Ovis aries: one gene and its partner. The protein of the gene in region 1 interacts with the protein of each later gene in a pairwise test. Links are inferred from orthologs where the notes say so. Each region holds a gene or a part of one and is shown in the gene's direction. Other genes may lie near its edges.

Evidence for each region.
Region 2: the proteins of UBASH3B (region 1) and DOC2A interact in binary tests that used the Homo sapiens proteins (3 or more experiments, as listed by UniProt). The link is inferred for Ovis aries from reciprocal best matches to the Homo sapiens genes UBASH3B and DOC2A.

The regions. Positions count from the first base shown.
Region 1 is NC_056068.1:33,037,444-33,041,748, forward strand, and holds the start of UBASH3B (ubiquitin-associated and SH3 domain-containing protein B), read left to right. Parts: upstream 1-1,367; 5' UTR 1,368-1,685; coding exon 1,686-1,846; intron 1,847-4,305. UniProt on the Homo sapiens protein: Interferes with CBL-mediated down-regulation and degradation of receptor-type tyrosine kinases. Promotes accumulation of activated target receptors, such as T-cell receptors and EGFR, on the cell surface.
Region 2 is NC_056077.1:26,767,069-26,771,608, forward strand, and holds the start of DOC2A (double C2-like domain-containing protein alpha), read left to right. Parts: upstream 1-1,635; 5' UTR 1,636-2,482; coding exon 2,483-2,747; intron 2,748-3,105; coding exon 3,106-3,185; intron 3,186-3,480; coding exon 3,481-3,555; intron 3,556-3,670; coding exon 3,671-3,780; intron 3,781-4,540. UniProt on the Homo sapiens protein: Calcium sensor which most probably regulates fusion of vesicles with membranes. Binds calcium and phospholipids. May be involved in calcium dependent neurotransmitter release through the interaction with UNC13A.

The DNA.
Region 1 (4,305 bases):
AGCCTAATAAACAAATGTTAGGTGGTAATATAATCATTACCTGAAAAAGAGCAGCTATCACTGACTCGATGAGTTTGGACATGAGTTTGGGTGAACTCCGGGAGTTGGTGATATTAGGGAGGCCTGGCGTGCTGCAATTCATGGGGTCACAAAGAGTTGAACACGACTGAGAGACTGGACTGAACTGAACTGAGGGTTACTCTGTGCCTTTTCCATTACACTGAGCAGGGTCCCCCTAGCTAACTGAGGACCATAAATGTGTCTCTGAATGAAACAGCTTTAATATCCCCAAGCCAAGTTCATGGGGGCTGGTCATCAGCTCTCCCCACAGCTCCACAACTTGAGAGCTGGTCATCAGCCTTCCCCCCAAGCTTTAATATCTCTAAGACCAGCTCTCGTGACGGCTGATGACCAGCTCACAAGTTGTGGCGCTGTGGGGAAAGAGGGGTGGCTAGGACTTCCACCTTCTTTGAGGTAGGAGTAGTTTGGGCAAACCTATGATGCAACTTACTTGTCACCACTGAGCAGTGATGAAGCGGTCTGTCTTAGAATGCTTTTACTGACAGGGTGCTCATTCGCTATTGAAAATCAACCCATTCGGTGCCGAACACCTCTTACAATTACAAAGTGTTCTTTCTCAGTTCCTGCTCCCCCACCCTCCTTCACATCCCACTTCCTTCCTCGCCTCCTTCTTCCTCCTTTCATCTTCCCCTTCCTCTTCTGTCTGCAGTTTTATCCCTCCCTTGTAGCTCAAATTGTTAAGAATCTGCCTGCAACGCGGGAGACCTTGGTTCGATCCCTGGGTTGGGAAAATAGCCTGGAAAAGGAAATGGCAACCCACTTCTGTATTCTTGCCTGGGAAATCCCATGGTCCATCATGGAGAACACAAAAGGTCTTCAGCGTGATTCCTTGGCCAGCTGATGGGAACTTGGTCTCCAGCTGCTATTAACAATTCTCTGGGTCTTGCACCGTCTCTAGGAAGCAAAACCTTTTATCTGGATGCTATGACTTGGCCTTCTGGTCCATTCATGTCGTCCATCAGTTTGCCCAATTTCCACTAATAACCCCATCCAGAACCACAGGAAACTTGAAATGGGTTGATCTGGCGTCTTGAGGCCCCACTGGCTCCGGATGGAAGCCATGGAGAAGCTAGAGCGCTGGAAGTGACTCCCCTGAACCAGTGTACACAGGCAGTGCTGGTTCCAATTCTCTGCCCAGAAGCACCTGGACTTTTACAGCCTGCGCCCAGCCGGGAGCAGTCACGGGCCGCGCTGCCGCTTTAAGAGAGGGGCGGGGCCCGGGTACAGGCGAGGCAGAGCCGGCCCACAAAGCTCCTTTTCCTTTTTGATCCATTCAAAAATTACTCATTGCAAATTCCCGGACTGCTGGGAGCGCAGAAGGAAGGGGGCGGAGGAGAGAGGGCTGCTGCGGGCGCCGAGCAGGGGGCACCCGGGGCCCGAGTGGCGGCCGGCCGGCCGGGCAGAAAGCGGCTCGCAGTTTTGGCTCCGGTGGCCTCACCAGGAAGCGTCAGTCTCGACACCAGGGAACCTCCGAGCGCCGCCTGCGCCTCCGCCTGCGCCCGGCTCCGGATCCCCAAGCCCCCCTCCCCTGCCCCGGGCCGGCCCTCCGCCCTCCAGGGCCCTCCGGCTCGGGTGCCTTCCCGGGAGATGGCTGGCCGCTGAGCATGGCTCAGTACGGCCACCCCAGCCCGCTCGGCATGGCTGCGAGAGAGGAGCTGTACAGCAAAGTCACCCCGCGGAGGAACCGCCAGCAGCGCCCCGGGACCATCAAGCATGGATCGGCGCTGGACGTGCTGCTGTCCATGGGGTTCCCCAGAGCCCGCGCGTAAGTGGCCGAGCTCGCTGCCCCGGCGACCCCTCCCGCCCCACGCGGCCAGCCCTCGGCTTCGCTCCGGCTCGCCTCCCTTGCCCGGCGGGAGGCGCGCTCCCCGCTGCCCACGACCTGTTGGGGGCAGGCTGGGCGCGCGGGCGGCCCGGGACTCGGCTCCTCCGGGAGGAGGGTGCAGGGGAGGGCGATGCGCCCGAGCGCTGGGCCAGGGGCTAGCTGGGCATGCCTACGATGAGGCGTGTCCCAGGGCGCGGGATGCCTACGGGCAAGGGCACCGGGTTCGAGTCCCCGGGACTGTGGCAGGCGCCAGGCCTCCGCGGGTGTTGCTAAGCCGTTCTCTCCCCGGGCTCCCTGAGGTCTCTAGCGCCGAGTCCCCGGGGGAGGCGGGGCCCCACAGAGGCTTCGGGCACCCTCTGGATCCCGAACGCCGGCCTGGCTGGAGGATCCACTGCTGACCGGGAGAGGGCAGGGACGGACGGCGGGGCCGGGAACCCGGCGCTCCCACCACTGCGGCTTTCGGCTCCGGATGTCGTTCTGGGTTCTGTCTTCCTCCAGAGTAGGAGCAGCGGGAGCGTAGCGGTTGCTGCGTGTTCATTGATGGGGAGGTTGGAATGAGAAGGGGAAGCAGTGCCCCCAGGGGACCTGGGTTCTCGTCAGTGGTGACGGCAGCGCAGGAGTCTGTGGGTGCCTGAGAGTAAGGGGGGGTGGGTGCGTCCTCTCTCATCCCTTTTCCTCCTGGAGGGTGGGGTAGGGCAGAGCTGAGAGCGCGCAGGTGGCGAGCCCGGCAGCCTGCTGGTAAGAGGCCTGGTCGCCAGGGCAAGGTTGGCAGTGGCCCTAGGAGACTTCGGAGGCTGGCCACCCAAGTCTGGACCTCTGACTGGGAGGAAGCCAAGGTCGGGTGGTCAGGTCCTTCTTCCCCCTTTATTCCTCGCATGCAGATTTCTTAGGCCGGGACGCAAGGCCTGGGATCCTTGCTTCTTTGAATGACATCACCTGCACAGGGAGTTAGGCAAACTTTATCAGAAAGGGCCAACTTGATTAAAGTGTGGGTTTTTTTTCCTTCCTTTTTTTTTTTTTTTTTTTAACATGATAGCTCTAGGTTTCCCTTACTTGGCCTCTGGGCAAACCTTTATTCTTACTGACTTGACTATAATCTCTTATCAAAGCTTATTCCTGATTTTATCATTCCACCTAACCTGCTGGGACAGGTTGGTGTACCCTATGGTTGGAAGGCCATAAAATGGACTTACAGTTCTGCCTCACACTGAGTTCCAATCACTGGGGCTCCATTTCCTGATGCCAGAGTTACAGGGAGGAGATGCTCTGAGCTTTGCAGGGGTGTGCCAGGCTTGGAAACTGCAAGTCAGGTCCTGCTGTGTGATGGATGTGCATAGCTGTCCTTAAGAAGGGGAGATAGGGGTTGGAAATCTGTGGGTCGAAGCTGCAGAATTAGAACAGCCCCCAGCATTTGCCTTTTCTAAAATGAGGCCAGCATTCAGGACCTAAATTGCTTAATTAAGGGAAGAAATACTTAACTGAATTCTTCAGACTGTCACATTCGCTCTCCGAAGTGTTTAAATAGGACATATTCCTTCCTGCACTGATGGGTCTTTCCTACATAGATGAGTCCAAGAGGCCTCATCTACATCCTGATGGATTAGGATGATGGTTTAATTTTGGCTTGTTCAATCCTTGAGATCTCGTACAACTAGCATTTATTTGTTGTTGGTGGTGTTTAGTCGCTAAGTTATTTCTGACTATTGTCGCCCCCATGGATTGTAGCCCTCCAGGCTCTTCTGTCCGTGGGATTTCCCAGGCAAGGCTACTGGAGTGGGTTGCCATGCCCTCCTCCAGGGGATCCTCCTTCATCCAGGGGTTGAACCTGCATCTGTGTCTCCTGCATCGGCAGTCGGATTTGTTACTGCCAAGCCACCTGAGAAGGCAACTAGTCTTTACTTTGTGGTGTTCTAATCATTTCATGTTTATTATCCGTTTTATCCTCTCAGCAGCCCAGTGAGAAGGGTTATGTGGCCCTTTTATGAACTGGGAAAGCTGTTTTTTAGAGAGGTCACATAACTTGCTTAGGCTCACCACCATGAACAGTGAATCTGGGATTCATGCTCAGAGCAGGCATGTGTCTGCTCATCCCAGGCCTCAGAGCCAGGACCAGGATGTAGTGAATTTAAGTGGATAAAGTACTTAGAGTGGTGATGTCTGGTACGTAGTGAGTGATCTTTAAGTGCTCCCTCGTAGCTCAGTCGGTAAAGAGTCTGACTGCAACACAGGAGACCTGAGTTCCATCCCTGGGTTGGGAAGATCCCCTGTAGAAGGAAATGGCAGCTGAATGCGGTATTCTGGCCTGCAGAATTCCATGGACAGAGGAGCCTGGCAGGCTACTGTCTATGGGGTCTCAAGAGTGGGACACAACTGAGCAACCAAGCGTGCACTGTATTAGC
Region 2 (4,540 bases), on another chromosome or scaffold:
ACAGTGCAGCAAAAAAAAAAAAAAAAAAAGGGAGGGTGGTAAAAATCCATATATGAATAGTTATGCTGGGTTGGCCAAAAAGTTCATTCAAGTTTTTCCTTAAAATGTTACAGAAAAAAGATGAACTTTATGGCCAATTCAAAATCTTAGCCATTTTCAAGCACCAGATTCAGCAATACTAAATATATTCACATTGCTACACAATCTAAAATCACAATAGTTAATGTTGACAACCTAGTGCCAGGCCCAGCTTGGGACAGCCTCTGTTTCTCAGTGGTGGTGGAGACAGAAATGTAAACAGGCATGACATGCCAGCATCACCACAGCTGAGGCTGTAAGAGCTCAGGAAGCTGGGGGCTGAGCTGGGGGTGTGGGGGATGTGTCTTAGGAAGAGGGGGTCCAAGATGCCCTCTGAAAAAAGGAAAGATCTTCCAGGCTGAGGAACTTGGGTGAACAAAGTTCTGCCTGACTGAGAGACCCAGGTATGTTCTAGGAACTGCAAGTAATGTTCCTGAAAGCCAGCAAGATGAGTAAGGGGGATGAGATGGGAGAAGTCACAGTCTTAGGCTGAAGAGCCTTGAAGGTCACTGTGGGGACTTTGTCATTGGGGGCTGGCAAGTTTGGGAAAGAAGAGAGCCAAGATCAAAGACTGGAGTTAGACTGACAGGTGGGTGCTGGGCTCAGGCGAGAGGAGAGGAGAAGGAAGGCCTCCAGGGCTCTGGGGCATTTAGAACGAAGCCCTGTGCTCCGTTGCACCTGAGGGTCCGACTGCAAGTGGGAAGGTGAGAGGAAGTGGATTCCCAAAGGAGACGCCAGCCCTAAGAAGCGGACATGGATCCTCGGGAGCTGGGTTGGGTCCAAGGAAAGAAGCCTGACCAGTCAAAGGATGGAAGCGTGAGGAGCCACAGCCTCGGGCCTCAAACTCTGAGGTTTCTCAGCCGGGGGCCGGGACGCGAGATCGCAAACCAGTGACCGCAGGCAGATCAGATCCCCTTCCCCAGCCCGCTCCTGGGTCATTGCGGTTCTCTAAGCCCCGCCCCACAGGCCCCGCCCCTACGGATATTGATAGGGGAGGCTAGACACCCTCCCCCCTCCTCCGCAGGGGAGGGGCGTGAGGACTGGAGAGGTGCGGTGGTGGGGGGGTGGGTAGGATGATCCGGCGTCGCCATGGCAACTAGGCCGGTGGTCTGCCCTGGAGACCCAGGACAGAAGCCAGCAGTGAGCGGCGGAGCGAGGCTCCGCGGGCTGGGCGCGGGGGCTCGAGTCTCCAGGGAGGAGTTGGGGAACACCGGGCTATTCTCGCTGAGGGTTCCTGGTGGCGCAGGTTGTCCGTGTGTTTGCAAGCGTGTGTCTGCTAAGTTCTCCGGGATAATTGTGCCAGCGCGTGTCTGGGTTTATGCACGACTGTGAGCGTGCGCACGTGGGCACAGACGTGTGCGCGGGAGTGTCCGTGCAAGATGCGTGTGCCAGCCTGCCCGTGAATGTGTGTGCACCCGGGTGCGTTCCTTAAGTGTGCCGGGGCGGGCGCCGGCGGGAGAGTCCCGCCCCCTCCCCAGCCTCCGGCCGCCCCTCCCCGCCGCCCGCCGCCCGCGCCGGCTGCCTCCTAGCCTCCACCTCGCTCACCCCCTCCTCCCCGCACTTTCTCCGGCTCTCCCTCCCGCTCGGCTCAGGCTGCCGGACTCGGCGCTCTTCTCGCCGGCCGCCCTGGGAATCGCCGGCCGCCACCGCCCAGCCCGCACCCGCTGGCCCCCCAGTGCTTGGGCACCTGTTGGAGGCGCACAGATAGGTGCTGGGGGCTGGTTTCCCGGGGACGAGAGGGTGAGGGTGAGCGTGTGTGTGTCAGCCTGTGTGTGCCTCCGAGGGGTGTTCGGCTCTCCGGAGGCTGCAATTCCTGGCTCCGCTGGAGATCCGATCTCAGGAGGAAGCATCTGAGGTGGGGGTCCCCACCTTGGGCCGCAGGGGGTGGAGGACCAGCCAGCAGGCAGACCCTGAGGTTGAATGAAGGGACTGTGGGAAGTGGGAACCTAAGGGGCGGGTGACACCCAGACCAGACCAGCGCCTGGTGCAGAAGGATGGCCAGAGCCTCAGAGAGGGAGAGGAGGGGCCCTACGAGGGCCGCTTGAGGGGTCGGCAGGGCCCAGAGCAGACAGAAGCCCAGAATGAGGGGCAGGAGCTGGGACGAGAAAGGGGACAGTCTAGAGGTAGGTGGGCAAGGCTGTGCTGGAGCCAGGACCTCTCTTCAGGGAGTGGCTGCCAGACTGGCCCCGGGGCGAGCACAGCTCACGGTCTGGAGGGCCCAGGCCTCCTGCCTGTCCCTGGGCTGGCACAGGCTGCCTTCTCCCTCAGTGCCCAGGAAGGGAGGCCAGTGAGGGCCCTCAGACCCCGGTGGTTGCCGCCTGGCCCTCAGCCAGCAGACGGGAGGTTTGAGGACTCATCCAGCCCAGGGCTGACGCTCTCTCCCTCCCCAAGCTAGGGGTGCTTCATGAGGGGCCGCAGGGGCGACCGCATGGCCATCAACATCCAGGAGCACATGGCCATCAACGTGTGCCCCGGGCCCATCCGGCCCATCCGCCAGATCTCCGACTACTTCCCCCGCCGGGGACCTGGCCTCGAAGTGGGTGGCGGGGGCTTCGGAGAGGCCCCTGCTCATCTGGCCCCCCTGGCCCTGGCCCCCCCGGCGGCCCTCCTTGGGGCCACCACGCCTGAGGAGGGAGCCGAGGTGGACAGCTACGACTCGGATGATACCAGTGAGTCTGGGGGCTTGAAGGGTCCAGGGCACTCCTGGGGGCCTCCAGGCTGGTGGGAAGGGCCTGGGCTCTGCTGGGGGTGGGGAGGCGGCGGGCACTGCTGCCACAGCTGCAGTCGGAGTGGAGATTACAGCTTCAGCGAGGCTCAATATTCAATATTTCTGCTGAGACACTCAACCACCCACACAGCCCCAGTTGCAGCCCAGCCAGGGACCCAGACGTGCACAGGCTCGCGGGCTGACAGCCGCAGATACGTACACACCTTCACAGCTGGCACACAGCGGGGCCGCCCGCCCGCCTCACACACACCTTGTCTTTGTGCGCTCACTCAGGTGAGCTCTTCCTTCTCTTCCTCCAGCTGCCCTGGGCTCCCTGGAGTTTGACCTTCTCTACGACCAGGCTTCCTGCACTCTGCACTGTAGTATCCTCAGGGCTAAGGTGGGTGCTCCCTGCCTCCCCCTGCTGGCCTTCTATCCTGAGAGGGGTGGGTTTCCATTCTCCCTTCTCTCCACTGGACTCTTTGCACCCCATGGACTCTAAAGTCTATGGAATTCTCCAGGTCAGAATACTGGAGTAGCCTTTCCCTTCTCCACTCCCTCCCCTTCCCCAGGCCTAGTTTCTTCTCCTTCTCTCCAGCCCCTAAGTGTCCACACTGTAGACAGACAGACAGGGAGAGGTTAGGTGGGTTGGCAGGCCTGGAGCTCACAGCTGTCTTCCCTCTGGTCCTCCCCAGGGCCTCAAGCCCATGGATTTCAATGGCCTGGCCGACCCCTATGTCAAGCTGCACCTGCTGCCTGGAGCCTGCAAGGTACTGGCTGGTCTCTCCCCTCCCCTAGTCCCCCCAGCTTGTGGATTCCCAACCTTCTGCAGCCTCTGTGGGTCTGGAGGACACATAATGTGAATCCTTCATCCCCTCACCTAAGGCCAATAAACTAAAAACTAAGACTCAGAGGAACACGCTGAATCCTGTGTGGAACGAGGACCTGACGTATAGCGGGATCACGGTTGATGACATCACGCACAAGGTGCTCAGGTGAGGAGTCCATCCTCCCCCGTCCCAAGCATTCCAGCTCAGCACCTCCTTGGGGACAGCTGTCATTGGAACCTTTGGTTGGTTGACCCACCTCCCCTTAAGCCCTCAGATATTCCAGAACCATCACTGGCTCCCCACCCTCTTCAGGAGCAGGCCAAAATGTTCCCCTGACTTTCCTGCCACCCCCTCTCCCCCAAATAGCTCCTACTGCTCCTCCAAGGACTGCCCTCTTATAAGGGTTCTTCACTCCTGACCTTTGTCTGCTGTGCCTCTTCCTGACTCCTCTCTCTGCCGGCCTGAACCCCACTCGTCATCCGAGGCTCTGCCTCCTCTTGTAGTCTTTCCCTGGACACTGGGATGCCTTCTCAGAGTCCCTGACTCAAGTCAGACCTACGCAGCCCGTTGTTGCCCATGTCTCCCTGACATCTCTAAGGAATGAGGTCTCAAGGGACAGGAATGGGAATGAGGTTCAGGGAGGTTAAGTGACTTGCTCAAGGTCATGCCGTAGCTATGTGGCAGAGCTGGGAACTGAACATCCCTACAGGACAGAGCTGCTCAAAAGCATCACAGCTGAAGACAGGGCGGGGGTGCGGAGGGGGATGGATGGAAGTAAAAGCAGTATTTTCTTAAGTTATTTGGTTCTGTCAGGTCTCAGGTGACCTTAGTTGCAGCATGTGGAATCCAGTTCCCTGACCAGGGATGGAACCCAGGCCCCCTGCATTGGGAGCATGGAGTCTTAGCCACCGGACTACCAGAGAAG